Linked DNA regions of Rhinolophus ferrumequinum. The protein of the gene in region 4 purifies or fractionates together with the protein of the main gene of each other region. This does not show direct contact. Links are inferred from orthologs where the notes say so. Each region holds a gene or a part of one and is shown on either strand. Other genes may lie near its edges.

Evidence for each region.
Region 1: the proteins of CSNK2A2 (region 4) and ARK2N purify together in Homo sapiens (affinity purification with mass spectrometry; 6 studies listed by BioGRID and IntAct, counting the BioPlex papers as one, with this or other methods). This does not show direct contact. The link is inferred for Rhinolophus ferrumequinum from reciprocal best matches to the Homo sapiens genes CSNK2A2 and ARK2N.
Region 2: the proteins of CSNK2A2 (region 4) and CHD4 purify together in Homo sapiens (affinity purification with mass spectrometry; 4 studies listed by BioGRID and IntAct, with this or other methods). This does not show direct contact. The link is inferred for Rhinolophus ferrumequinum from reciprocal best matches to the Homo sapiens genes CSNK2A2 and CHD4.
Region 3: the proteins of CSNK2A2 (region 4) and SIN3A purify together in Homo sapiens (affinity purification with mass spectrometry; 3 studies listed by BioGRID and IntAct, with this or other methods). This does not show direct contact. The link is inferred for Rhinolophus ferrumequinum from reciprocal best matches to the Homo sapiens genes CSNK2A2 and SIN3A.

What each region holds. Positions count from the first base shown.
Region 1 is NC_046302.1:38,048,919-38,056,770, reverse strand, and holds the start of ARK2N (protein C18orf25 homolog), read right to left. Parts: upstream 3,009-7,852; 5' UTR 2,884-3,008; intron 2,555-2,883; exon of another isoform or gene 2,268-2,554; intron 1,235-2,267; exon of another isoform or gene 1,213-1,234; intron 1-1,212. UniProt on the Homo sapiens protein: AMPK substrate important for exercise capacity and skeletal muscle function.
Region 2 is NC_046293.1:23,841,665-23,848,722, forward strand, and holds the start of CHD4 (chromodomain-helicase-DNA-binding protein 4), read right to left. Parts: upstream 3,003-7,058; 5' UTR 2,849-3,002; intron 1,966-2,848; 5' UTR 1,883-1,965; coding exon 1,783-1,882; intron 1,508-1,782; exon of another isoform or gene 1,376-1,507; intron 209-1,375; exon of another isoform or gene 79-208; intron 1-78. UniProt on the Homo sapiens protein: ATP-dependent chromatin-remodeling factor that binds and distorts nucleosomal DNA. Acts as a component of the histone deacetylase NuRD complex which participates in the remodeling of chromatin.
Region 3 is NC_046289.1:99,846,814-99,854,752, forward strand, and holds the start of SIN3A (paired amphipathic helix protein Sin3a), read right to left. Parts: upstream 3,002-7,939; 5' UTR 2,912-3,001; intron 1-2,911. UniProt on the Homo sapiens protein: Acts as a transcriptional repressor. Corepressor for REST. Interacts with MXI1 to repress MYC responsive genes and antagonize MYC oncogenic activities. Also interacts with MXD1-MAX heterodimers to repress transcription by tethering SIN3A to DNA.
Region 4 is NC_046298.1:10,605,834-10,613,215, forward strand, and holds the start of CSNK2A2 (casein kinase II subunit alpha'), read right to left. Parts: upstream 3,018-7,382; 5' UTR 2,648-3,017; coding exon 2,544-2,647; intron 1,781-2,543; coding exon 1,669-1,780; intron 1-1,668.

The DNA.
Region 1 (7,852 bases), on a different chromosome or scaffold from region 4:
AAAGGTCGAAGATAATTTACCAAAGTTACAAATGTAGAGTTTGGGTCTCTAATTCATAATGGTTCCAAACTTAAAAAAAAAAAAATCCTTATTACCCATACATCAAGTCTATTCATGCACACATCAAAACAAAACCATAAGATTGAAGATCCCAGCAAAACAACCCCTTGAATAATGAGTGACTACAGAAGCTCCCAAAAGTTATTCATCATACAGTAAGGAGACTTAAGGTACTAATGAAAATAGAAACCTTTGAAGGTCACACATTGAGCACTCAGTTCTAACAGAACTGCATTAAATTAGAATCTAAAGCTGAACCTATCTTAATATATGGGTCTTGGATAAATCATGAAGACTGTAAAACAAAGTATTATGACACTTGCTCTTTCATAAACGCATTTAAGAATAATATAAACTGAATTAGTGAGGAATGTCTACACTGTGAACTTAATATGGTGCTAATAAGGGAAAAAGTTTGTAGCTCCAAAATCCAGTCCCTCCCCTTTTCCACAAAAAGATGTCAGAAAACAAAAATTTTCCATTAAGAAATCATATTTAGCTGACGCCTACGTATAATTACCTTGAAGTTTCTCCCTTCCTTTCGTATTGTATACCTGTATGTGAAGTTTACACCTATATCTTAACATTACAAAAAAGAGATGGTTTGAAGCGTTAAGATTGCAAGTGGTATTTAAGAGTAGTCTGAAGGAACCTGATTTAGAAATGTTTAAAAACATTTTCAATTCTCATTTAATGGAATTGCATGAAATTTCACGGAGGCTCTTTTTAAAGGAGCATACAGGTTATCACAGTAAATTCCATCCTAGTTTTCTCAATTCAAATTGAATTCATAATTTTTGTATTTACTGAGCAGATAGCACTCAACTAGGCATTGTATTAGTCAGATTACTCCGCCAAAATATTACACTTCCTATTAAAAAACGGTTCGCTTTGTGACTCCCCAGGACATCAGGTAATAACTATCCATTGTAGGCCTCTAAAAATGCTTGTTAAACCAAAAGGCAATGCTTACTGGAGGAATCCTGATTGCCAGGATCAGCAAAACGACATTAAAAAGTTAATAGACTCCGTCCTTAAAATATCCCAGGAGAAGAAAAGGAGTGATTCAAACTGTTAGCAGGTGCCCAACGACACTGCACAACAATAGCCTAAGCAAAACTGCCAGAGGTATTTGTAATGAAGAGGTCCAACCTTGACAAAGCATCGTGCAGTGGGGTTTTCATCCTACTAGATGGAAGGATTCAGAAAGCAAACACTCAGGCAAGCAGCGAAAAGCGCCTCCGAGGATAAAGTGCTCAAGCGGCTCCGTCTCGGAGAACGCGTCCAGCGGTTCACGCCATCCAGCTGCGAGCATCTATCCTGCGACAGCGGCGAGGACGACTTAACAGGCCGAAGGAATGACGCGCGGTTCTGTTGGGGGCAAAGGCTCCAACGACACACAGAGGTGGGCGCTGTGAGAAATAAAGCACGAAGCGCTCCTGGGGACAAGAAGAGAACTCTGGGGACAGTCCGAGAAGACGACGGTCTGGAACTTGGAGGTTCGTCCATTTCCATCCTCGCCGGTTTTCCGAATAAAGTGGGCAAACTCACCAGAAGCGGTCAATTTTGAGGACGGACGCATCCCTGCCCTTGACCGGAGGCGACCGCCGACCGAACGTGGTGGAAGCGCAGAGAGGCCGGCGGCGCCGAGCCCGAGAAAGCGCTTCCTCCCTCCCCGAGGCCAGCGCGGCCGCCTGGGCTCTCGGGAGTCGGGGCAGCTGTCGGCGCCAGACCCGACCCGGGCGGGCAGAGCCGCCGCGGCCGCTTCCCCCGCGGGCCCGGGCGCCGGAAAGTTGCGTGAAGGCAACTCCAGGGCCGCGAGGCCGCCCCCCGCGCGCCCCACAGACTGCGGCACCTCCCGCGTCCTCTCAGCCCCGGGTCCCAGCGCTCCGGGGAGGCGAAGGGGCCTCGGCCCGCCAAGCCGGCCGGGTCAGGAGGACAAGAGGGTCACCAGCGGGCGGGCGGGCGGGCGGGCGGGCGACCCCCGTCGTTGGCCCCCACGCGAGCCGCGCCTCCCGCCAAGTCCGGGCGCTCACGGCCGGCGAGCGCCAGCCGGGCCCGTCACGACGCCAGCGCCCGGACGCTGCGGAGCTCTCCCCCGCGGCCCGCACCCCTCCGACTCCACTCCACCCGGGCCCGACAAGCAGCCCGGGTGCCGCTGAGCGACCCGTAGCCAGGCCGCGGCCCCGCGCCCCTGCCCGCCTCACCTGCGCTCCGCGGCGGCTCCGCACCTCCTCGCCGGCTCCGCGCGCCCCGTCGGGGCACGCACCGACCCCCGGGCCGGGACTCTCCTAGCCGCGGTCACTCGGGACGCGACGGCCACCGTCGCCTGCTCCTGCTCGGCACAAGCCCCAGCGGCGAGCAGAGGGTCGCGGTCAGAGCCCCGCCGAGGCTAAAGGGAATCTCGCCGCCTCCGCAGGCTCTACGACCAAGTCCCTTCACTCGTCCGCGCCGCCCGGAGAAAATGTCACCAGAGGCCGTTCCGCTCGGCGCCTCACTTCCGCCCGGAACCACCGAGCCCGCACCGAGTCAGCTAGAGCGGCCGCTGCGGCGAGAGCCTCTAGGGGCTGGAGAGGGAGGCCGATGGAAAGCCACACAGCGCCCTCTGGCGGAGGGAACCCGCGCTCCTCTCACTGCAGGGTGCCCGGCGAACGGGCACCGGCTGGCTTCCCGGGCTTCTTTCCCGCGCTCCCTCCTTCTGATCAGGCAGCTCCGTTCCAGAAATACCTTTCTCCAGAGTCAGAAAGCCGGTCAATGCAAGCCAAGGACAATGCCCTGAGAAAAGGACGGCGCTCCCTTTCCCGGGCGCTGCTCAGTACTCACCCTACCTGAAGCCTTCCCGAATGAAGCTCGTAGTGTCCGAATGCTCGAGTCACTCCATTAGGGATGCGCAGCCTTCTCTCCTCACTTTTTCGCGGATGCCCAGCGCTTGGCTCTGGGAGACTCGGTCATGCAACTCATGCAATGGCATCAACATCCCGTAAGTTTCTGGAATGGAACCTTGCAGGCCTCGCAGATAGACCGCCACCTGCTGGTGAGACGGGGTGGGCCAGGGACACCCCGCTCCGCCCTTGTGCGCGTTGCAGACGCCCCAAATTCCACCTATGCAGCGTCACTCCCCTGACTGGCAGTTCACCTTGGGAAGGGTGACACACCGGTGCACTCTATGAGTTTTCGAGGCCCTTCCTTGAGGCCCAGGGTCTGGGGAAACGTGCTGGACGCAGGACCCGGCGGGAAGGTGAAGTGGGCACACGCCACTTGGTGGGGTACAGGGCTTCCGAAGGCTGGAAGATGAGGTGCTGAGAACACACCTCTCTACTCAAGATCTGGCCAAGAGGCTGTGCTCTCTAAAAGCAGGGTTTTGATAAATAAATAAATAAATAAATAAATAAGGGCTTGGGAAGAAAATGTTAAAGATCTTGACCTTTTCAGGAGCCATGCGGGGACCTGGGGTGACACTCCCCAAGAGGAAATTCTGAAAATCACAGCGCTGGCGCCACTCAGCCCTTAAAATCAGTCTCCCCTTTTTAAATCAGGCCCTTCAGCTCCCCCCAGTTCACTCATTTAGGCTGACTGCCTACAAGCATGGGCATCCCTGACTAAATAAATAAATTGATAAAATAATTTTATAGTAATAGCTAACTTTCATTGAATGCCTACTATATGCCAGGCACTGTACTATGCATTTAAATGGATTCATTTATTTAATCCTCTCAACAAACCTATGAGTTTGGTGGTATTATTAGCCCCAAATGACAAAGGTGAAAATGAGACACAAAGTAGGAAAGTGACTTGCCCCAGGTCACACGTCACAATAAGTGTCAAGATTGGATTACCACACAGACAGCCCAACCCTAGAGGCTGCTTTCTCAATCACTACCACCAACTGCCTCTTTGAAATTAACTGAGATCATACCGCATACCATCTACACATTTTGTCTATGTAGGTTATTTCGCTCATTCATTCACTTATGCATATATTTCCCTGCTACTTTAGTCCTCAAGGAATTTGAGAGCCTGTGTAATAGTGACAAGAGTCTAAGCTCTTTCAGGAGAAAAAGAGAATAGAAAAGAACTACTAAGATCATAGCTGTCAGTCTTGGAATGAATTAATTAATGTGGACTAATACATTCAGTTTTTGTTTTTGCCTTTGTTTTTTAATTTTATTGGGGAACAGTGTGTTTTCTCTAGGGCTCATCAGCTCCAGTCGTTTACCTTCAATCTAGTTGTGGAGGGCGCAGCTCAGCTCCAAGTCCAGAGCCATTTTCAATCTTTAGTCGCAGGGGGCACAGCCCTCCATCCCATGTGGGAATTGAACCGGCAACCTTGTTCCGAGCTCGCGCTCTAACCAACTTGAGCCATCTGGCCGCCCTACATTCAGTTTTAAAATAACTCCTTGACAGTCTTATCTGGTCAATACTGTAGAAATACTGAAGTAGGACCCTGACTACTGAGGTACCATCTTGGCTCCTTTTCCTGTTTGATATCAAGTCAATTCCCTACGGTGAGTGGACTCTACATATTTTTGGAGGCTAGAGCATTTGATATCCTAATTACTATTATCCCTATTACTGCCATATTTAGATTGCCAATAAGGCAATTGCTTTCTTCTTCCTCTCTATAGGAGCATGAAGGGCTGAGGAGATGATCCTGCTGCCGCCTTAGATTTATCTCCTAGAATCTCCTGTGCATCACATACTCAGCTCTCCCAACTCCTGAAATCCCATTTCCATAAAACCAGCCCAGCCCAGACACCACCCGTATCACCAGCACCTTTACCAACTCCCTCTATCCCATGGCCGCTACAGAAATTTCTATTAAGAATACTCTGCTCACAGACATTGTCCTATCGACATGTGCACCCCTTGGCCTCTCTGCAGTGTTACTACTGAATCATATCAGCGGTTCTCTCAACTTCTGTCCTAAGCCCTACAGGCCCAGGTCAAGCCCATCAGCATCATTGTTTGCATCTGATGCACCTGCAGGGCTGGGCCTGCAGCAGATGCTATTAGAAGTGGTGGACTAACCGGTAGCATCAGAGTGAGTTGCCCCTGCTTTGACTATTCTGTATACTCTGTTCCCTCCTGATGGAGCAGGTTACTATAAGGCAGCTGAATGGGGGATGGAGGCACGGATAACCTTCTCTGCACTGAGATGGCCACGTATGCTCAGACAAGTCACCTCTTCCAGAGTTAACATTACCGGCTTGGCCTCAGAGCATCCGTTATTCCACAGAATTTAATCACGTCTCCATATGAAAGGCCACCCAGAGCATTCTAAGGATTCCAAATAGCAGAAGGTGACCTGGCCATCAGGACCAGGGGCTCTGGAGTCCAACAGATCTGAATTTGGATCTGGTTCTGCCTCACTTCTGTAACCTCGCAGAGCCTCAGCGTTCTCCTGTGTCAAACACAGGTGATCCCTGATACTGCTGTGGACGGAAGACATGTTCAGACCTGAGGAGAACTTTCATGAGTTTACGTGAGCCAAACTGAGGACAATTGCCGGGAAGCACAATCTCAACAGATTAAGAAAATTCTCTGGAGAATGGCTGTTTTGCAGCTTATTTTATACATTAGAATCAAAGGAAGAGACATAAGGAGGGTTACATGAAATCCATTGGGGGTAGATTAATTGCCGCGATGGTCAGATATAGCTGAGTGAACATATCCGAAATTTTTACACATAAAAATAATGTCATTTATACACAAAGCAGCTCAAATTGTTATTATTAAATGCATAAAATAGTCAAAATATCAACTTTTTGTTTATTTTTGGATTTCTGACACATTTTGAAAAAAAAACCTTGAAATCAATTAACACAGCAAAAGAGCTAAGGGGGTGGGAGAAAGCAGAGCAGGAAAATCTCTGGGATTGGATAAAAAGTAAAATGGAGAGATGCATACTTCTCTTACATTGGTGGGTATAGGATAGTTAATAATTAACACTTTACAGCACATAGAGATGGTGTTCCGGGTACAAGATAACAGTGAGGGGTTCTATAGTCTGTCTGCTCTGGTGCTGGTGGGTTGTGCCTTCAGGGGTCCAGAAAAAGGAAGTACTCTGACATTCCAGGGCATGCTATCTTAGATGCAAAAAAGACAATAGACAGGCTGACTTAAGGTAAACATTGACCTTTGTCAAGGAAGCTACAGGCCAAGGATGTGACTACCTGCCATGATCCACTCTTAGTTAGGAATTACTATGTTCACACCATTCTATGTGGTTAATTTCAGTCTCTGAGTTTGTAGGGCCTGCCATGCTGGCCTCCCCCGAGTTTGTCACGTTTAGTATGTGGCCCCTTTTTTATCCACACTACCTTGTAGGATCTTGTGAGGAGTGAGGGTGAAATGAGTCAAATGTGTAAAGCTCTCAGGCCAGCTCTTGGCTTAGAAAACACTCTATAAAAAGGACCACTGTTCTGATGGCCGACACGCCAAGCCAGCACCTCCAACAGGCACAGACTCACACTGGTCAGTACAGTGGCACTGCCATCTCAACTGAGTCATTTTTCAAGAGCAACAGGTCATGTGGAACCAGAACAGAGCAGGACAGAAGGATGTCATGAACGTGGAGCCACGTGGTGGCTGAGGGTTGGTGAGGCAGAAAAAGGGTTAATAAAAGTGAGCCTGAAGGAAGACTGCCCAGGCCTGTATCCCCTCCCCAGGAACTGCCCAGGCTTTAGAAATAAATCAAGATGTCCAAACACCCTTAGAAAAAAGAAAGAAGACCCTAACCAGAGTAAGTTGGTTCTTGATGCCTACACAAACTGCTGGAACCTGTCCGTTATTTGAACTCTAGCCTCATTATAATACAATGAAAATAAAATGAACGTTAAGGCTTGCCCCCCACCCTGCGGGTTTTTCTGTAAGAAATGGGTAAGAGCATGCACAGAAAGAAAACTAATTATATAACCAACATATGCCAATCAAATGACCTCAGTCTATACGTCACATCTCCTGCTGTAAGGAACTGCACCTACCCTCTCCTATATCAGAAAAAGCTAACCTAAAGTGAGGTGCAGTTTTCTAAGACTCTGCCCCTGCAGCCCCTCCTGCCGCCCCCGCCGGTGTTTCTCTCCTTACTGCCTGGGACAGGCTGGCTTCTTTAAACACGGACAATGTCTGTCTGCCTGACCTTCAGTAAAACTTCCCTTGCTCTCCTCATTTCAGGTTGAGTCTGTGAATTCCTTCACCTTTTGCAAATGAACAGCGGTTAATTCCAACGACACAAGGGTGAGTGAGAGAGACGCCTCCCTCAGCTCCCTCCATTCTCTGGGATGGATAATCCAAGCTCCTCCATCTTGGGCTCCAAGTTCTTTCCAGCCACGGGATCCCCCTGACACCCCTTCTCTATGTAAAGTCTGTAACTTCTAATAAAAACTAGAAATAAAAGCAAAGGACAGCTTAAAATTTTTCAACAAGTATATATTATTGGTCTTTCATCTTTCAATGAAAAAAATAGCTCTATGACACAGCATCAGACCTTGGGGGACCTCCGGGGTAGGCGGGGTGAGGGCTCCTCTGACACCCCATTTAAACTAGCACGCCCACAGCCCATCACAGCATTGTTTGTTCCCTTCCCAACACTGGCCCTCCTGAGTACCTGTTGTGCGTATTCTTCTTTCTCATCCATCTGACACCCCAGACCATAGGACACGGGTTGTTCTGCTCTGCGGTACACGGATGTGAATGGAGGAAGTCCGTCTAAGCATCTGGGTGGGAAGACACAGAAACCTGAAAGGATGTCAAAACAAGGAAGTGGTGCAGGTGCCAAATAGGTGAGAGCTGG
Region 2 (7,058 bases), on a different chromosome or scaffold from region 4:
AGCCTGGATCTCACCAGAAAGAATCATTTTCTTTAAGGGCTTTGCCCCAACAATCCCATGTTGCCCTCCCCCCCCCGCCCCAGTCAGCTACAACTCTGGGTTCTTCCTCTTCACCACCTCCACAAACGCTGGACGTGGACACAAGGACAAACCCAGGGAGGCAGAGGAGACACCCTCCCATCCACTGAAGACCCCCCAAACTTCTCAGGTAAGCGGCAAACTGGCTAAAATACGATAGAGGATTTGGGAAAGGGGTAAGAATGGGGTGTGGCAAGTGGAAAAACTGGGTCATACTACAGCTTGGGACAGAGTTCACCTGTGGAGCCCATACAGCTCCTAATCCACACAGGGGCAGCCCCAGACCAAGGGGCCAGTGGGAAGCGAAGACGGGCAACCAGCATTGGCTCGGTGGCACTACTACTTCGCATGCCCCTCAGCAAGGACAGGCTCACCACCACCCCACAACCACCCTGGGCAACATTACACAAACCGGCTACCCTGCCCTGTACACTGAGGAAACTCAAACCTAAGTTTCTTATCCCAACAGCTGAAGACTCAGTAAAAAGACTGAACCCTCTCCTAAGTGGCCTCAAGGTTGACATAAAGACTTCCAACTTAGAAAATGCCAAATGGGGAAACATTTCTCTCCCAGACCACCTCAACTTGCCACTAGAGCTGAGAGAAAAGGCAAAAGTAAAAGATGTTCCATGGGAAACAAAAACAGGACCAGCAGTCTCCAGAATGAAAAGAAAAATATAGAGGGGATAAAGAGATGGCCCGTAGACAAAATGAAGCTAGGAAAAAAAGGTCAAGGAAACAAGTAGGTGACTTAGCCGGGGTCTCTGAAGGACAGATAGATGAAAGAGACATCTACTTAGAAGCATGACCTCAATTATCATTTGGGGGTAAACAAGGGCTACTCCAATCAGACGGAGTGGTTATAACCATACGGGTTTGGCCAGTTCAAGGAGCCACCCCAAAACAGACAGCACAACCCCCAACACCACCTACACAAACACTTTACACCACCAGCCCAAACCCCAGGCTACCTGCACAGCAGAAGAGAAGCCTCTAGGAAAAAAAAGCGGGGATTATGTCCACTTGCCAAGGGAGGAGGGTGCCCAGGGTGTCACCTCCCTTCTTTTACCCCTCCTAGCATTTCGTCCAGGTTATTACATCCTACCCCTAAGCCCCATCATTTCGCCGCTCAAAACATTCCAGCCACCTGCCTGGCTAAAAGCTCTCCAGATCCCAGCTAAGGAGCGCAATTCAAACTTCACACAGTTGAAACAGCGCAGAAAACCGGTAACGGATCAGAAGCTAAAAATAATCAGATAGAGAGTAACCACCACTCCCTCTTTCCTTTCCACAGCAGCAACCCCAGAATCCTAACCAGCACAGATGTGGAGCTGGTCTGTTTAAAACAGCAATCTTCAAGCCCCTACCTTCCACCACCACAGCCTCCAGGGGTCCCAGCTACCTGCATTCCTCCAAGGACCCACACGAGGTAAGGCCTGCCAGCCCAAAGAGCTCCCTCAACTGGGAACTGCATAGCATTCCTTAAGACAGTGCAGAAAGCTTGCATTTGGGTCCTCGGAGCCCAGAAGGCACATGGCTTCCACCCCCTCCCACAAGAGCTCTGCAGAGGGGAACCACTCCCTTCGGATGCCCTCCACTTCAGACTCTGCAGAGAGAGACAGAAACTCAGCCCTGCCTCACTAGAGTCACTCGTGAGGGCCCAAAAGCCTCCTTCCTGCACTGAGCCTTAGGGGAAGATGTTACCTGGGTGGGGTGGGGGCAGGCTGTTGTTCAAAAGTGCATCCATATCCTCCTCCTCGCTGCCAGCAGAGCAGGGGGACGGGGAGCCCAGGCCCGACGCCATCCCCTTCCGCTCCGCTCACGGCCAGGGAATTGGCCCAGCTGCTCCTGCCTGCGGCCTGGGGCCCTCTACACTGGCCCGAGTCACTGTGCGGGGGAGGGGGGGGAAAGAGAGAACAGTCAGTGACGCGCAGTCCCCCTCCCCCACCCCCACCCGCTCTTTCCGCCCACCACCACCACCACCACCACCACCACCGGCCCCCCCCACCACAGCCACCCTAGTGGGGCACCCGAACCACTCAGGCTGAACTTAGTTCCACACTCCTCGGGGACAGCCCGGAAGCTGGTTACCCCACTGGAGCCCCCCAGATGAGAGGCAGCGACGCCCCCGAGGGCAGGCTGGTGCAGCCGTGGGGAGCGAGGGGGGGAAGCCCAGCTGGACCGAACGGGGTGTGACTGGGGGGAGGAGGGTCCGAGTGGCCGCAGCGCGGGGGGGGGCCACGGGAGGCGGCCGGCGGCGAGGCGCTCGGGGACACAAGGTCACTTGGGGGTGGGGGGGCACCTCCCTGCGCCTGGGGAGGGGCCAGTGCCCAGACAGGGCAGCTCTCCAAAGGCTGTCCTCTGGGACAACTCAGGTTCTCCCAAGGAGCCGCAGGGACGAGGGGGCGTGGAGGTTCGGGCGCTCCGGGGGGCTGCAGGCAGGAACTTACGGGTCACAGGGCTCCCACCCGGTAGGGGGTCGGGCCACGTGTCCCGGGGGGCAAGTGAGCAGAGGGTGTGGGGGCGGGCGCCGGGCATTGTGGGAGACCAAGCCCGAGGTGGGAGTCGCGGGGAGCCAGACTGACTGGGTTGGGGTGGGAGGAAGGGGGCTAGACACCCAGCAGGGAAGAGAGAGGAAGGGTCGGCTCCTCCGGGCAGGGGGCCGTCCGCGGGTCGGAGGACGCCTGAGAAAGGGGCGGGTGGAAGGATGACCCTCGGGGCTGGCCGGGCTGAGAGGGGCGTCTCTTTGGGAACCCCGCGCTCTCCTCACCCCGGAGCTGCCGCAGGTCGCGCAGGGTCCGGCCCGGTGTCACTCCCGCTTCGGCTCCTCCTCGCCGCGGCCGAAGGGGGGAAAATGGCTCCGGCTCCGGCGTCGCCTCTTAAAGGGCCCGAAACACCGGCCGGGAAATCCCACCGCACAGGCCCCGCCCCCCACGGACAGCCCATAATAACCTCAACCAACTCCAACCCCCCTCCACTACCGCCACCCTCCTCCCTAGGTCTCCCGGGCAACCCCCGCCCCCTCGTCGCTCTGGCAACCATTGGCCACGCCCCCTTCGAGCGCGCGCGCGCGTCACCCGGGCAACCACCCACCTCCTGGCCATCCCATAATACACATGGACACCCCCCCCAACACACACACTCATACACACATATATGCCAGAGCTGTTGACATCTTATAATATTGCAGACCTTCTGCAACTAACCCTTCCCCCCCCACATCCCATAATAGCCATCCTTTGCCAACTTCTTCACTCTTGGCCCTAATGCTAACATCCCATAATAATTCGTCACCTCTCCCTCCCCGTGGCCATCCCATAATAAGCACCCCACCCAGCACTTCAGCCTCACATCCCATAATACTCATCCCCATCCCCCACAGACATCCCATAATAACCACTCTGCATCCACCCCCAGTTTGATATCCCATAATAGTCAGAAACTCACCCCCCCCACCACCACACACACACTGCAACAACGGACACTTGGGCCTCCTCCCACACACATCCCGTAATAATCAGTCTCCCACTTTCTATACTGACATCCCATAATAATCAACCCCCTGGAGCTGCCCTCAACCCCTGCAGGCTAGGGTCTAGATCCTCTCACCACCACCCTCAGCCTTCACACACTCAATATATTTCCACAGCCCATAATACCGTGTTTCCCCAAAAATAAGACCTAACCAGAAGATAAGCCCTACCATGATTTTTCAGGATGACATCCCCTGAACATAAGCCCTGATACGTCTTTTGGAGCAAAAATTAATATAAGACCCAGTCTTATTTTCAGGAAAACACGGTAAGCACTCTTCCCCATCAAAGAGATATCCCATAATGATCTGCAGTTTTGTCACCCTACAGACATCTAATCTCCTTTTCTCTAATACTGGAAAGGTATTCCATAATTTTTACTCCCCACCCATAACCTGACATCCCATAATAACTTCAAGGAGTCCATAGTCAACCAAACATACCATAATATTCCCAGCACAACCCACTACCACATCCCATAATGCTTCATCTCCACTCCACCACCTCTATACCTTTCCAGCCAGGCATCCCATACTATTCATACCTCCCCCATCTCCAGATGCTGTCAATGTATTCTAACACTTAGAGCAGCCAGGGTGAAAACAAGCTACGTACACTGCCCTGTCCCTGCCTCAACTTGTACACACCTTTATCCCTTTCTGGACCAAAGCAGTATCCTAGCATAAAGCCTCTTGATGTCTATGAGAGACCCTACCTTTCCAGATACTCAGGAACTGCCAGTCAACCTAGGTCCCTACTAAAGTCCACCAAACTTCAGGTTTCTCCGGACACTTACCTCCAGCTCTTAAGTTTTGAGTAAGACCAACCAAATACCATGCTGGCCGGATGAGCCATTTACATGTTTACATTCACCCCAAGCGAATTTAATTCACCCCAAGTGAAAGTTTAATTCACCCCAAGCATCCCATAATAATTACAAACTCCCATCTAAAGACTATTTCTCAAAATTCCAGCAGCCCTCTCCCCACCCACCCCATCTCCTGAGTTAGGTGCTCCATTCATCAACACCCCTATTGCACTCTGATGGATGAACATCCATCCCATCATGATGGGATGAGGATCCTGCTATATACATACAAACAGACAATACCTGCTCTCCCTCTACTCACTGCTACTCACATTCATTCAATAGATGTTGACAGAATACCTAGCAAGGCACAGAGCTGGGCACCATGGGGAATGCAAGGGCCATAAGTTCCTCCTTCCAAGAAGTATAAATCAAACTATGAGGCCAGATAGAATGTCTGGTGTCAAGTGAGAAGAACTAAGTGTTAGTTCCCAATTTCCTGTTACAGAGAATGAAACAAATCCCAGGAGAGATCGCACTCCAGTAGACGTTCTTGGTGGTCTTTCCAGAGGCTAGAAGGTATTCCAAAACAGATGGATAGTCAAGATAATCTATCTGTTCCCTACATACTAAAGGATTTTGATTGGAAAGCAATGTTCATGCATCCAGCATTTCTAATACTGAAATTCTGTATCATCATGTGCTTCCTTCTTGAGAGATTTATCAGCATGCCAGAATTATTATCCTCATTCTTGAACACCAAATTCTGCTTACCCTCAATGTCCCATATGTTTCAGCCAGTTTCTCATTTTGTGTCCTGAAGTCTCATAATACTTTCAACTGCTCCCATCCTCATCGCATGGAGGCCCTATTCCCCACTCCCCTCCAAAAAAACCTTTGTTGTATAATATTTACCATCTTCCCCTCCCCGTGTACAAGTCAACATTCTAGGATGCCTTCGTCATTCAATTATGCCACAAGGTAGCGTCCCAACATATCCATTCCCTTCCCTAACTGTGCCTACCCTGCAGGCACACGGGGACTGAGCCTGAGAAAGCTGGAGAGTGCCGTCTTAAAACTCTTTGGCCCTCAGAGAACCTGAGCCCACAGGTCTGTCACTTTTCCCTTTCCATGAGTGAAAACTAATGTCCCAGCACCACTGCCTTGCTGCCCCTTGGCCCCCAAGCCAGAGGTAATGTCTTCCTCCGCTCTCATGTGCCTTTTTCACACAAGTCCAAGACCTATGGCAGTGGGACAGGTTGAAGAGAAACCGGAACTTCCTCCTAGGAGGGGCCCTTCCTGACCAGAAGTGAGTGGGACGAACCTCATACCATCTCTGCATTGCCCTTCTGATCTCACTTCTCTAGAGAAAGAGCCTGACCAGATGATTCTCCCCTCCTCTAGGAGCCACAGAACTGGAGAACTGGCAAGGAAGAATGAGTTCAGGAGAGGCAAAGCTTGCTTCAGGAAATCAGTATCCCTTTGCTTCCAAGCAGACCACCAGTGATGCTGATGAGTCTTCCCACCAGCTCCTGCCCAGCTTAACTCCCTGGTCCACGCTTTTGCCACATCCATTGTGGTGTGCAGGCTGTAGCTCCTACTTTGCAAAGCTGCGGTCTTCCTCATTAACTTCTCTTGACTTCAAGATTGGGCCCCATTTATTTATGCAAACCCTCCTCCATGATTATTCTGCATACCAACAATGAGCCTTGTGTTCTTCACCTGGAGGAGAGGAGGCAGCTCTTTTAAGATACCATAATGTGGGCATACCTCCTTTCAAGAAGATTCCCCTATATAGAGCCATCAGACACCAATTCTGTCCTCCTCCCTCCCCATTTCTCTAGGGGATGCAGCCTGCCTCTGGGCCTCATATTCCCTTCTGTAATATCTCTATCGGCTCCTTTTCTTCTCATATATATTACCACATTACTACAGTGATTCGTAATACAAACCAGGAAGAGTTTTACAACTGGGTAGTCACAGCCTCTTGCCTATAATGGCAAACACTGATACCTGTTGTGCACCACAGCCCTCTGCCTCATCCCTGCAGGTTCTACCCACTTACCCCCTTGCCTCTCTTACTCTCCACCTCTCCCTAACACCACAAGGAGAAGGCTAAAGTCCCTTCCTCTCTTCTTGAGTTCCAGAGAGGGCTAGGATGTGTGTGTTTGTGTGTTGCTTTTGTGGTCTTTATGTATCCATGCTCCCCCTCCCTACCCTGGCCCCATGCTATCCTCCCAGATAAATTATAAATAAACCACTAGCATGATTGGTCCACAGAGACTAAGGGTGGGATAATCTCCTGATTAATGCACCCAGGGGGGACAGCCTCTCTAGCCGGTTACCTTAGAATTTTGTTTCTAGCCCATGGTACATAAGAACCTAGAATAACACTCAGAGTGGTTGTCCTTGGAGTTTTCAGCACATGTTCTGTAATTCCTCTCTCTACATCTCTGTTCTGTGTGAGCCCTAGAAACTCTGTAAGAGGTCTAAATGACCAGTGTTATCCTGATCTGTTAGAATAAGGGGTTTGGGGAAGACAACATAAAAAAGAAAAGCCACAGTGACAGTGCACTCTGATGGCTAGACAGGATGCAGGTAGTGCAGGGTTTGGGGGGTGATGGGCCAGGCGTTTGTCC
Region 3 (7,939 bases), on a different chromosome or scaffold from region 4:
GGAAGGCGGAGCGTGAAGCGTAAGGCACTTGCGATTTCCAGGGAGGCATCTTCAGACTCGAAGAACTGAGGAAGGGGGTCAAACAGGCCATGGCATACATAAACCTTCACCCCACACTTCAGAGAAAGGATAAAAATTCGAGTTGGGGACAAAAAATAGTAAGAACGGCTGTTCACCTTCTCCTCGGCCGAATATTAATGGCAGAACATAGACCCTCTTTGTATAGGTTTTAGTGCCTCGAACACACAAAGTGGTTGCAGTGCCTAGGTTGCTTTTATTTATTCACCAGATAGAGCGAACTGACCCTGTCCTTGCTTTGGAGGGCGCTCACGGAGCGCCAGGAGAGGAGGGGGCGGGACTAGAGTTTTCCCGCTCTCCAGCAAAAAGGCCCAGTCCACAAGTGGCAGGCCCCAGGGAATCTCGGTCCTCCTATCTTGTCCTCCCTACGCAAAGCGGAGACGCAGAAGCCAGCGCTGGCAACAGGTGGGCCTGACTGCAAGGGTGGCTTCCAGCCGCAAGGACAAGGCAGCTAACTGTGAACCCCACGAGCAGCCGACAAATGGGAGCAGCCTTGCCGGGAGCCAAGCCCTGCCCCAGGACAGAACTCTAAAAATAAGTAATACCAACTAAAGCGAACCCCGGGCCAAATCCCCCGGAGGTTTCGAAGGACTGGCGCTTCTGCAGAACAGACCAGGGGCTACCTTTAACTCTGGGTCGTCTCCACTCCCTGGACTGGGTGCACCACGGCGCTCCCACCTCATATCAAGAACCACTGCGAACCCAAGCAGGATTCGGCCACCGCGCCTCCTCCCCCTCTCCCCCCCCCTTGGCCTCCTGACTTCTCTGTCAACAAGGGATGAGTTGCCCTGGATCCAGCCTAAGGCATCCAGGCCAATCCTAGATTGCTTAGTTTTAGATAAAGCCAGCTAAGGACAGCGGTTGCCTTGCTCTGGTAAGAAAACACACTGTCAGCGTCCGTAGCGTTCTCAAGCTTGAGCTCAGGGCGATCTTTGGGAAGTCAAGGGGCGCGGGAATAGCCAGGCCGCAGTCAGAACTTTAGTACTCGGCCCGGCAGGACAGATACCACCCCCTGCAGAACACAAAGCTCTAAGCCCCTAAAATACACTCCACACCCTCAACCCCTAACTTCATCGCAAAGGCTACTAGATCTCGAGCCTTGGAGGATCATTGTTATCTCGGCTCTCCCCGCCCCGCCTCGCCAAAGGCTCCAAGTCCGGTACTTCCGGGCGGGAGGACAGTTCGAAGAAGCAAGGCGGGTCTCACACGTGTGCCTACAGCTCATACAACCCGGGAAGGGGGCGGGAGGCAGGGGTGGACTTCCCCCTCCAAGCTCGCTACGCCGGAGGCGGGACGACATCCCACCAATCAGAAGTAGGGGCGGAACCTTGCGTGTCTCGTAAGCCGCAGGAATCCTCCCTCCGCCCTTCACGGAAAAAAATCCTAGCAACTTAAACTCCAGCCCGGCCTCCGATAGGCGGAACTCGGGAGAATGTCATCCAATAGATAACCGAGAAGAATAAAAGGGAGCCGCGCCCAACCAGTGGAAGACAAGAGAAGGCGGGCCCTCTAGAAGAGTCCAAGGTGGGTGGAAGACAGGAAAAGCTCCGCCCCCCAGTTCTCCGCGCCAGTTGCACAAGCCGTCGTCGGAGTAGATACGTAGTAAACAGGATAGGCCAAGCAGTGGATGACGGAGCGGCCGGGCGCTCTGGGGGCTCGGGCCCCTACTCCTCGCCCGGAGGCGTTCCGACTGACGGCAGCGGTTCGCGCCGGAGCCCCACCTCCCAGCCCGCGGCCGCCATCCCGGCTGACAGGCGCGCCCCTCCCCTCCCGCTGATGCATTTCCTTTTCCCGAGTCCGAGCGTGGAGACTGTTTTCCCAGTTTCCGACCTTCACTGCCCCTTTCAGGCCACCCCCTCGTGGGCGCGCTCGCACGCCCGCGCCCCCGCCCCCGCCGCCTTGGAGTGGGCGGGGAGGGAAGCAGCTCCTTGTTTGTGGGATCAGCTGTAGCAAGGGTCGAAGCCGCCGAGTTGCTGGAGCTTTTCCACACCGCCGGGCCGAGTTCCGCGCGGGCTCGCGGCCTGACTGGTTCATGGGCCGAAGGCCGGCTCTACCACCACGGCCCACGAATTCGGAACGCCTAGACCTACGCGAGGGGCTCTTTCCGGTGGCCTCCCCGCCCCCGGCCGCCCCTCCTGCCAGGCCTGCGTTTCCCCGCCCCCAGAGTCCATAACAACCGCGGGCCCGCGGCGCCCGCGCCTCCCCGGAGCGCGCCCACCGCCCCTTCCGACAAGTTTGCGGATAGAAACGAAACCCTCGGGGCGGCTGCCGCACTCGCCCGGCGTGGTTAGCGGAGAAAGCTGCGGGCCTCAGCTCGCTCGCGAACTCCAGCTCTCGACCCACTCAGCTTCGGAGGGCTCAGGCCGCTGCCCCCTGCCGAGCCCGCGCGCCGCAGCTCCGGTCCGGTTCCAGTCGGTGTGCGGAGTCCTTTTTTTTTCCCCCTTCACAATAATTTTTTTTAAGGCGTTTCAGAAGCATAGGGAGATCCTCTCCTGCCCGCCCCCTTACCCAGTCCGCCACAGCAACCTACCGAAACTGACTGCTCGGTGAAATAAACTAGGCAGCACGGTCAGCGTACTGGCTACCCCGGGCCGGGCCGACCCCCTCCCCACGGAGCCCCCTCGGCTGGGAAACACTGGCGAGCGGGCGGCGCCAAGAGCTCTCCTTCCTGGCCTGCCCCTTGCCTTCCTCGGACTCCGAGCCTGCCCAAGCTCCGTCTCGGGGCCCGCGGCGCCCGCACTGTGTCGGACCGGCCAAAGCGACCGCCCGGCGAACTAGCCCCCCAAACGGCGGAGATTGGGGAGACCAAATTAAAAGCAGCTGTTTAACATACCTTGCGAGCCAGGCGAGGAGTCCTGAATGGGGGGAACGCCCCCCACGGACCATTGGCTCCCAAGCGCTCGCGTCAGTCACCATCGGCCCGCCTCCTCCCCTCGCCCCACCTCTTTCCTTCATTGAACTCCCCCTCCCTCCAACAAATATATATATAGATAAATTAACCGTGCGTGGGAGGCGCATCTGTGGGAGAGGACCCTATCTCTCCAGCACCGCTGCCTCGAGATTCTTGAGGCTCTTGGACTGGAGGGAGACCTTCTAGGACTTGATCCACAGGGTGGGCTGGGAGGAGGAGCCAGTGAGGGTACCCCGCCCCCACTTCCTACACACACACACACACACACACACACACACACACACACACACACACACACACACACACACACAGGCACGCACGCACGCACGCACGCGCGGTACGTGGGGGGGTAGAAGGAGGCTATAGAGACACCCTAGCGACTGGCTGGAATGTCTCAACTCCCCTGGCGGTGTAACCTAACCGTGTATGGCCCATTCTGTTAGGCGCCTGCCTTAAAAATGAACTGTGTAAGCGGTAAGTCCTGTGTTAAGGGCAACAGGCACTTGTCTGAGCACTTACCGTGGGTGAGGCGGACACATTCATGTCGCACCCGCTGCTGGGTGCGATTACAGAGAATAGGCTGCTCACGGTGTACCTTACCAGGGCTCCAGACCCGGCTGAGGAGATGCTACAGAAGAGCTAAAGCAAGGCAGAAATGTATGTATAGATATCTTAGATATCTTAGATATCTTATCATAGGAGCTCAGAGCAGGGAGATTTTTTTCCTAGCTGGAGAAAACTGGGAAAGTCTTATGGAAGAGGTGGCATTCAAGTTGGGTCTTAATGATTTCATCAGGCAGAAATGGAGGGGCGAGTCATTTTCAACAACAGGCACCAAAGAGTAAATGCAAGACACTGTTAAAGGCCTCCCAGTGTGGTTGTAGTCATGAAAGTCAGGGTTGGAAAGATGGAACCAAATGGCAGAAAACTTTAATACCTGGTTAAAATTCTTGGACTTGCACAGTACAATGTGCAAGCAGCATGGTCACATGACTACAGGCTCAGAACTGTGGTGTAAGATGCTCAGCATCCCAGCAGCTGAGGGTGGGTTGAGTGAGGGGTGCCTACAGGCAGCAAGGTAAGGCACAAAGGCTGTTGTAATACTGGGTTTGGAGATTGCAGAGGTACATCTTCTGGTGGGAGAGGTAAATGGGGGGAGTCAAGAGGTTTCTTTTGTCTCTCCCAGCCACCCAATCCTGAAAGCCTTCAGTAGACCTCAAGTCATAGCTCTGATTCAGATTCTTCCTTGAATCATTTGCAGTGTTTGTCTTAACTTCCAAAAGGAGTTTCTGGGGGGCAAGGCTCAACAGAGCTGAGCCTGAGGCCAGGACACGCAATGAGTGAAGACCTATTAAAGAAAGGAAGTGTAGATGAGATGGTGTGTGCAGCATGTGAGAGCCTTAGAGTCCTGTGGTCAAAATGGGGGCTGCTGTCCGTTAGGCTGTCCCAACATTTCAGGTGAGCTGTAATATGGACTTGACCAGGACAGTGGCAATCGGTAAGCAAGGCTGTTTCAGTGTGGGTAGTGGAGGGAAAGGGGTCAGCGTCCTGCTGTGTGAAGAGGGAGAAGAGCTTGAGGCTACTGGTTAGGTAATCTGGGTTCTAGATTTAGCGTGGTCAGTAACTGGTGATACATCCTTTGGCAAGTCCCTTCCTCCCTCTGGGCCTGTTTCCCCAACTCGGAAAATGGGGATGGAAAATGGAGTTGAAAGACAGGCTCAAAGAACCCTTCCCCACTGAAAGTTCATGGGGCTGGGGGTCGGATGGGGAGGGAAGTTTGACACTGAGAGGGGGAAGGTGGGAAGAATTACTGATTAGGGAAGGGCAGTGTGTCCTAAAGTGGGGACTAAAATTTGGGTGGTAGCTTGGTGGAATCATTGAGGGAAAAGGTATGGAAGGGGAAAGGCCAGGAGCTGAGGACTGTGTATTCAGTGGGAGGCCCAGCACCTGGCAGGGCCACGGAGGTTGAAGTCCATTCTCAGACTGGGGGCTCCCTAGGGTGAGAACCAATTTTGACTATATCAGAACAGAGATCCCCCTGATATCTGGGGCCCTGTCTCAGATTCCTGCTCTATTTCCCAAGAAGCTGTGACCTAGATGAAGGCCTAACAGATACCGTGTGAATGTGAGATGAGACAGAGTGGTAGAGCAGAAAGAACATTAGAAGTTGAGTCCCATGGTTCCCACTTAGTCTCTCATCTGTGGCTCACCCTCCTGTGCTGTACAAGAAGATAACATAGCAATCCTTGCTCCGTTATGAAGATCAAATGGAATGATATTTAATACACCTCGTGAGGTTCTGAGCTTCTGTGGAGGCCAAAGGCCCAAGCACTTGACTGTAAGCCTGGACAGCACATGGTGTACTGTGGATGAAGTTACTTAGGGAGTATTTACAACTAGAATAGTTAATCCCACTCAATATAACCAGATTTTGCTGACATTCCCTACCTTCTGTGTGCACCACCCTGGTGGAAATCCCCTCTAGAAACCCCCCTGGATTGTGTACCTGTAGGACAACCACTAATTCACCTCGGAGCCCCCAGTGCCCAGCAGTCAGGCAAAGGAGGCCCCTTGGAAAGGAGACAGCAATTGTTTCTGACTCAGTACACTGATGCCTGCATAGCAGTGAGGACCAGGCTCTGGGAAAGCATTTGATTTGGCGACATGAGCCCTCCAGCTGCACCTAAGTTTGCATCCACCCTACCTATGCCCTACACTGTCAGTGAGGACAAACCAGCGAGTGGATGTGGGTGAGGGCCTTCCTTGGAGAGGTCACACTGAGAAGCCAGGTTCTGAGTCCCAGGAGGCCTCCTTTGTGTGAGTTAGGGATTACTATCCTATTTGTAGTTGAGCAAACTGAGGGTCAGAGTAGTAGAGTGACTTGTTCAAGTCAAGTAGCCAAGACTGTCTGGGCCCAAAGCCTGAGCTTTATCCATTCCCCCATATGTTGTCTGTACACACTAGGCCCGTGACCAGGCTGAGGTGTCTGGAGGAAAACAGCCTCCCCTCTTGCTCTACCCTTCTGAACTCTAAAAGTAGTTTGTTCCCAGATCATTCCAAATGATTTCTGGCCCTTCCACAAATATTATCCTTGAAGAAGCAAGATCTGTCTTCCAAGCACATACAGTGTCTTCAGCTCACATATACTCAAAACTGTCACACCTTCAGTCACCATGCCTCACACGTCTCTCTCTCTCTCTCTCTCTCTCTCTCTCACACAGTCATTCACAGAAAGGATTCAGTTCTTTAGGGTGCTTATGGTAGGTGGCTGAGATGTTGAGGCCTGCACGTCAGTGATTGTAAAAAGGGTGTCACTGCCAGTGCCCTGCTGACAGAGCCTCTGCCAGCTATAGACCATTGCCAATTTGGGAATATCCAGATGAGGGGCATGAGGCTTGGTCCCCACCCCCAACCCAAAGCATCCTATAGGTACGTTCAAGGGGAAAAGCTCAAGCTATTGGTCAAAATCCATTTAGCCACTTCCTAGCTGGATGTCTTTGGCAAGTCATTTATCTTTTCAATCTTCTTGTCTGTAAACTAAGTATTCCTACAGCATTGGGCTGTTGGGAGATTAAAGTATGCCTGGCATTTAGTCAAGTTCTCAGACCTTTTCTTCTTAATCCTATGGCCGGGCCACTGAAATGCGACGCCTCTCCCTGGTGCTGCAGTCTGAGGAGCCAGGACAGGCAGAAGGACCCACTGTGTGAAGAAACTCCATTTTTCAGGCTTAGGGTGTACATATTCTATGCTTCTGCTTTCCGGATAGCTTTGGAGGCTTGGAATCTTGTAGTGGGTTTGGAGATTGCCATTCACTGCCTTGAAACGTCTTCCCCTCACTGAGCATTAACTTACCCCTCTGGGCCACTTCTAGCCCAAATCTAGAAAGTAGATAAAACACTATGTTCCCCAGTTTACCTGACTTTGTTTTCAAAGTGTTTCCTTTTGTGTATCAGCTAATTTTATTGTAAAGCACCAGGTTCCTTTGTTCCAATGAAACAGTAATCAGAGGCCTGGCACATGAGAGAAAAGGGGGGCCATATTCGGTTGGCGACAGCCCCAGCTGCCTGCTGCCTCTTCCTTCACCTCCCACGCATGCCCCTTCTGTCAGTCCCTGCCCCAAGGGCCACTCTTGAACCTAGTTCCCAATCCCATTCATTCATCCCAGCCACTCCCCTCTCACCAGACTATGAGAACACAGCCTGGCCTTGTCCTTGGTTACCTCTATCTATTAATCAATCTTTCACCGGCTTTTCTTCCTCCTTCCTCCCCTAAATGTTGGTGGCTCCCAAGAGTTTCTTCTCTTCTTGCCCTCCTCCTTCTCTGCTCTCACCCACTTCCAAGGATCCTAGCTTCTATCTAAATTAAGTCTCCAATTGACATCTTCCAACACAGAATCTGCCTTGAACATCAGACTCCATACATCCACTGGCTGCTGGCCACAGAATAGGTATTAAAGGTCAAGGAAGGAAAACAGAGACCCCACAGGATAAAGTGGCTGATCTGGGCTCAGCTGCACATCTGGCCAGTCATGAGGTTTGGACAACATTAGCTTAGGGAAGTTGCCAGGTTCTGGTGTTTGTGTGTGTGTGTGTGTGTGTGTGTGTGTGTGGGTGGGTGGGTGGGTGGGAGTGGGGGGAGGGGGAGACGGAAGTGAACCTGGAGTGGGGGAGGGGCACTGTGCCTTTTTTGACAGTTTTCTCTCTACATCTCACTGTCTTGATTTCCTACTTTCATTTCATCAGTCCTAACAACTATCAGGAACACATTACCCTAAATTGTTGAAAAAGAATCAGTGTTCCTAGTCTCCACCTAACACTCCTAGCCTAGCTAGGACTCTGGTGTAGTTAGCTATGGCCATGCTGGCCTTAGCCGGAAAAAAATTCGGGTGTTGCAGATTAGCTTAAACTGAAGGAAGGATTTTAGGAACACTATGGTGACAGGTGGAGAGAT
Region 4 (7,382 bases):
AGAGCAATGTGACACTTTCCTAAATGAATGTACTGTTACTTACGTGTACACCTGGACACTGTTCCTTTCAAAAAAGACCACAGGAAATTGCATGTATTCTAAAAACTTTAGACAATTTTCCGGATTTGCTTTAGAGTAAGCAGTTCATTCTTCTGAATGCACAGCAACAGAATACAGATATTTCTAATTTCATTTATGCCTTGCTTACTTCCTAGAAAGATTTTAAGCAGCTTATACTAAAAACATTTACACTAATGTACAAAGGAAAAAAATTGTATGATTTCCCCAGGTGGCCTCTCTGAAAGGAACATTTCTTTAAATATTTACATTTGTAAAGACCATGTGACTTTGTAAGTACCATTCATATTTAGGGAAGAGGGGAGTCAAACACCACATCTTCAACATCAGTTTCTCACTTCTTACCCCCCGTGTTTCTGACAGTACGAAGAACTTATTTCTCTCTATTGCAACTCTGCTTCTTCATCACTAGGCTTGGATGGTACTAAGAGTTGATCAGTTTTCTAAAAGGTGATTTTTCAGACAGTATAAGCTTGACCTCTCATATTAAACAGGGACACAGCTACCCTAACTCCATCCTTCAGACACAAAGTGTTTCAACCCCAAATTCTTATTCACAGAAAATTCTGTAAAATGGCCACATTGGAAATCTTGTACCTGTAGAAGTGCTTAGATTACTCTTTGGTCTTCTCAATATTTCATAAATTACATGCACACATATTAAATGATCTGGCAATGCTGAGGACACTTCACAGATTCTAATAATTACTTTTTAGGACAACCTATAAAATATGGTTAAAGCTACACAATCAGTTACCTGAGGAAAATTTAGCCAACTCTTCACGCTCATTAAGATCATGTCTTCAAAAAAAGAAAAAAGAGATCGTATCTTCATCTAAGAGACGACAAAAGGTCCAACATGCTACTCGACCAAACACTAAGACTGTTTTATTCCAATTATTATTTCAGCAGTGAAAAGTGCACTCATCTACTGCTCCCAATTTCACTTCTACTGGCTGATAATCAACAATGAACCTTCTGGCACTAGTGGCTCACTACACCTACCCACCTGAAACTTCTGTTGCCAAAGAAGAAGAAACAAGTGATTATCCACTGAGATGTTTCCCTCTACTCAGGCTGCAAACTCATCTTTGGAGCAGCTCCCATTTTTTCCAACATTCCTTCTGGGATAACTAAGGGCACCAAGAGTAACCAAATAGTGCTCAAGGAGCCCTTGGAATGATGGATCTTCATGGAAAGGCTATTCTTTCTTCTGAACACCTACTTACTTTGTAACAAGTGGAGCCCCCTCAGAATATTCACTTTGGGAGCTGTAATTATTAGATTAGTGCAAAATTGCGGTTTTTGCAAGTATTTGTAACCTTTTAAATCGCAATTACTTTTGCACCAACCTAATACATTTCCAACAAGGATGCTGCCGAGCGATCCTGCCTCAATTTGAAACAGGTCCGCGTATTTTCTTGAAAGTTCACAGGAAAATAGGGTGGGAGGAGTAGTGGGGGTACATCAGACAGAAGATACGTAAAATGGGAGCTTGAATTGCTCATTCTAGAATGTGGCTGGGGTAATTTGTATCCTTCTGACCTGTGGAGGGGGTAAAAAATGTAATGCCACTCGTAAGACACTCACCTTGAGAATTTTTACCACCACTCTCTCATTGTTGGTGATGTTAATGGCCTCAAACACTTCACTATACTTCCCCCGACCAAGTTTTCGAACCAGTTGGTAATCTTCTTGATTACTGTAAAAGGCAAGAGAGAAACATCAATGCCAGGAGTTGGGATTAACCAAGCCTATGCTCACTCTACATCCCCATCCAGCTACTTCTATAAACCAAGCACTTGGACATGTGTATCCATCACGCCACAACTCATTTCCCTAAAAGAACGCCACAACATAAACTTGGCTCCTTTCACTCTGCTCAGAGCTCCTCACCTAATTGGTCCCTGGTAACTTGTGGAGATGAAGGAGGAAGGCACTGCTCGGTGCCAATCTAGACGGGGGAGCAAAGCATCTACCCCGGAGGCTCCGAGGGCAGCCCTCTGCCCGGCGCGCCGCGACACCTGCCTTCTATTTCACACCCTTAAGACAGCGCCAGCTTTGAGTATCTGGACGTCTTTTAAAAATTTCCTCCCACCCAGCCTCATTTCAAAAAAAACTAAAAAAGCAGAAAATTCGAATAGCTCAAGAGGACAGCTGCTGATTTCCCACCCCAATAAAAAGCCAAACGTGTGAGAAGGGCTGCTCCCTCCCTTCCACCAGGCCCTGGACCCAACACTTCTCCCCAGAGAGAAAGCATTCCTTGGGGTCCGGGGGGGGGGGCACGGCAGGGAGAGGGAGACAAGGGCAAGGCTCTGCCTCCCACCCCAGATCCGAGGACACGCCGGACCAGCAGAGGGGCCCGCGGGCAGCCAGACCGCCCGGGGGCGAGTGCGGTTTGCGCCGGGGAGCGGCCGGGCGGGGTGGGGGGGAGAGGACCCGGCGGGGGACGGCGGCTGCTTTACCCCCAGCTCGGGATGTGAGCCTCATAGTCCCAGTACTCGCGGCTCCTCAGGCTGTTCACCTCGGCGTAGACCCGGGCCCTGCTGCCCGCGGCCGGGCCGGGCATGGCGGGCGGGACCGGGGAGCGCCGCGGGGCGCCGAGGGCGGCCGCGCGGCGAGGGGCGCGGGGCGGCGGCCGGAGCAGGCGGCGGGCCGCGGGGCGCCGGAGGAGGAGGAGGAGCGCGGCGGCGGGCGGCCACGCCAGGCCGAGCCCGCGGGGGCGGGCGGGCTGGGGGCGCGGGGGGCGCCGGCCGAGCCGGCCCGGCCCTGGAGCGGCCGGCGGGGCGGTGGGGCGGGCGGCGCTCACGCTCCGCGGCGGCCTCCGCTGGGCTCGCGGCCCCAAGGCGGCGGCGGCGGCGGCGGCAGCACCAGCAGCGGCAGCCGCCGGCCGGGAAAGGGGCAGCAGCGACGGCAGCGACCAGGAGGAGGAGAAGAAGGAGGAGGAGGAGGAGGGAACCCGGAAAAGGGCCGCGCTCACTAGGAGCGGCCACCGCCCGGCCCGGGGCCGCCCAGGCTCACAGCGCCCCCTGCAGCGCGGGGGGACCCGCCGTGCGGTGCTGGTCCCGCCCTCGGCCCCGCCCCCGGCTCCCGCCGCCCAGACCCCCACTTTTAAAGCTCTCCACCCTCAGTCTGGCGGGACGAGCTCACAGGGCCTCCCCCACCCACAGATTGCTGCCTAAGAGCCTCACCCCTCGTATACCCTTTCAGGACTGTCCTGGAGACGCCTGTCCTAAGCCCTCCACCCTGTAGTCGTCCAGAGCTTACTCACCCCGACCTCCCTACTGAACGGACCCTGTGCTGACCTCCTGTCACCCAAACTGTTCCCATCAAGTCCCTCTCCGATGATGACTCGCTCTTATCACTCAGAACCTCCCCACCTCAAGATTTCTCCATCCCTCCCAGAGACACCCCCTCTTCCCGGTTGGATCCTGCCCAGTCACCCATCGTTTCCTCCAACACGACTCCTCTCTTCATCCAGAGCCTTCCTCAAAAAATCCTTCTCTTACACTTTACCCCAGATTTTTCTTCCAGAGCCTTGTCTAAGACCCCTCTGAATGTTCAGTTCCATCACTTGGTCAAGCTGGAGTCAGCCAGGTTGCTTCTTGTCAAGTTCCTATTTTTCCCTTTGTAATTAAAAAGCGATTTATGGGGAGACACTGGAGACCATGTAAATACCCTGATTTTTGTGGGGGAGGATGAAGAGCAGGGGAAGAATTGTGAGAGTCCCATGAAGGGACAAGCTGGAGGTTGTGCATGGACTGAGAGCAGGATGGGCAACCCAACTTTGGCCTATATTATTATGTTGTCTCCTAGCCGTTAAAATTCTTCTCTCTTTGATCTTATGGGGCTTTCTGTGGTCTTGTGTTCCCATTCTAAATCCTTTATCAACAGAACTTCCATACTCAGCCTGGGTTGCTCTGACTCCAGTTATTTTCCACATTCTGTTTTCTTGCTTTTCCTGCTTCCTCCTTCTTGACATAGTTTAGAGTAGAGATCGTGGAGTCAGATCCATCCAGGTTTGAATTTCAGCTCTACCACTTACAGGCTGTGTGACCTTGGGTCAATGACTTAACCTCTCTGTGCTGTGGATTTTATGGCATAAAAACAGGAATGGCACCTACTTCCCAAGGTTATGGGGAGAATTAGACAAGGTAAACCGTACAAAACACTTAGAACAGGGTCTAGCAGATACCAAATGCACAATATTATTATTACAAGACCAGAGCCTTTCTTTTATCGCTTTTCCCTCCCTGAGACCACCAGAAGCCCATCTTTTGGTTCCTTCCAACTCCAAGCTTGACCACTTCCACCACCTCCACTCCTACCTTCCCATGCCTGACTCCTTATTCCTTTTCAAGTCTCACCTTTAAGTTCACTTTAAATGTTAGAGTTGATACTTCTCTATCTCAGCACCCTATCCATATCCTGAAGACAAGAGCATATTTTGTAATTATTTACTTGTTTCCTAGATTATTGTCTGTCTCCTCCGCAGTAAAAACAGCATGAGAGCAAGGACTGGATCTGGATGCTCACCTCTGGCTCCCCCAGAATTTGCCACAGTTGGAGACTTTCAAAACAGTCTTACAGTGTTACCCACTTATCAATTCCAAAAGGGAACCTGGAGGTCCCCACTTTAACCATAAATCAAACTTACCATCAGTAAGGGACCTCTGGCCTTCTGATGTGATATATCGAGAAGGGACATGACATCTGACGAAAATGCCTAACTTGAATCTCATCACAAGGACCCAATCAGACAAATCCAAACTGGGGGACATTCTACAAACCATCTAGCCTGGACTATTAAAAAAAATATCAATGTCACAAGAGAAAACAAATCTCTGAAGTAGTGTCTTTGATTGAAGGAGCCTGACAGATATGACTAAAAGAAGTGTATAATTCTGGATTTAATCCTGGATGAGAAAGGCAGGAAGGGAGGGCAAGAAGGAGGAAAAAGGGGAAGTAGAAAGAATACAGCTAAAAAGACACTATTGGTATTACTGGGGGAATTTGAATAGAATACGCCTATTACATGATAGTTGTCCATGTTAAATGTTGTGTGAGGGTTCTCTTGTGGTTATGCAGGATAATCTCTTGATCTTAAGAGTTACATGCCAAACGTTTAGGGAAGAAGTATCATAGTATCTTGCAGCTTACTCTATTGGTTCTACAGAAAAACATGTGTTCCTGCCTGACAGCACAGGCATACGTGGGGAGAGGGATGCATTTAGGGATAAATGTTGACAAGTGGAAAACGTAGTTACAGACTACATGAGTTTGCAACTTTTTGGCAGATTTGAAGATTTTTCAAAATAAAAAATGGAAGAAAACAAAGCATTTGTAGAATAAGTGGACTTTGGAATTTAATTCCCAAACCTGCAAACCTCTCAAATCTCTCGCACACACAGTCTCAAGGTTTTAACGAGCCTTAGGATTTCTTTCTGACAAGTCCCTGTGAACTAGTCTAGCCCAGAGGTTCTTAATACTGAGCTCTTGGATGAGCTTTCTGGGTTCCAGGAACCCCCAACACTGTGCAAAATTTGTGGATGTGTGTGTGTGTGTGTGGGTGGGTGGGTGGGTGCATTCTTTACTTAGGATCCATCAAATTCTCAAAGGAGGCCATGACCCAAAAATGGTTCCAAACCACTGGTCTAACTACTAGGTCCAACCCCAGCCAGGGCCCCATTCCTCACCATCACCCTCGCCCACCTCTGCCTCCATCTACCCTCCCTGCACCTTCCTTTCATCCTCACCACCTAACCCACACCCATCTCACGCAACCTGCTCCCACACCTGCCGTGATGCCTAAGGATTCACCCACACGTCACTCTGGTACAACAGGCTCCTGGATTTAGCTGACACTTCGTTAATTCAGCCCTGAAATCCACTGGCAGTCCTCCCACGGCCAAATGGAGTGTGTTTTTATGGTTTGTTGGTAGGTAGGTTGGTTGGGCACCCCATGAAATTGGAGGAGACCCACTTCCTAGTCTTCCTTCCAGCCCTCCATGAGTGTACTTGGCGTGAATTAAGATGGGCAATTGGAGATGGCACCAATGCCACCCTCACTGAAGGAGGAAGTCTCAGTGGCCTATGGAGAGGAATAGGCCGACGGCTCTGCAGGAGTGGGTGACAGGGCAGGGAGGTTCAGTGAACCCGAATCGACTTCCCCTAATTATTCTGGGTGTATTCTGTGTGTAGGGTGATTATAATTTAGGGTTACATAAGGGGGATAAAAGAGGGCATCGTGAGTCAAATAGCCCAACAATTTTATGCCCCCAAAGTCTATCCAAACACCCCCCCAAAACAAAACAAAACAAAACTTTTAAATTCTCAGAAGAATACTTTCTATCTTCATAAGGCCCACTTTCAAAACTGTTTGAGAGGTTTCTGGGCTTTTATCCTGTATTGCTGGTTCTAAGAACCTAGACTAAGAAAATAACGTTGATTATGACCAAAGAATTATTAACAGAGGTGACAATTTGTGTGTTCAGTATCATTGAAACCTGCAAACACCCTGAGGCTGAAACCCATTGAATTTACACTTTAAATGAGTGAATTATATGGTATGTGAATTGTATCTCAAGGGAGCTGTTTTAAAAATTCTATGAAAAAATAAAAAAATAAAAAGGCTGTTCGTTTCCAACAACAACAACAACAAATTCCATGAGATTGGAGCTATTGCAAGGATCCCCGTTCTGCAGTTGAGGACATTGAGACTCTAATGCCACGGATAATTGAGGTGGAGCTGGATTTGAACTCAGGTCTTTCTGACCACTCAGTCCATTTCCTGAATCCCTTTCTGACTCAATACACACCCCCAAAGACCCAAAGACATTCATCATAAAAATCATCATCTTTAATCATAAAAATGTAAAACAACTTAAATATCCCTTATTGGGACCAGTTAGATAAATTGTGTTATGTACCTATAGCGAACTATTAGGCATCATTAAAAATTATGATTATCAGGAATTTTTGGTGATGAGAAAAAGCTTATTATATAAGGTTTTTTAATAAGTGGGTTTTTTTTTGAAAGTTACACAAGTAATAGTGGTAAGCGGAATAATACCACCCTCCCCGCCTTGTTCCCCAAAGATACCTGTTTCCTAATCTCTGTAACCTGTGAATACATGAATATGTTCCTTACATGGAAAAAGAGACCACAGTTGTGATCAAATTAGGGATTTTGAGATGGAGAGATTACTCTGGATTGCCCAGATGTGTTTAATATAATCACAAGGGTCCTTATAAGAGAAAGAGGGAGACAGGAGAGTCAGAGAAGTAGACGTGATGATGGAAGC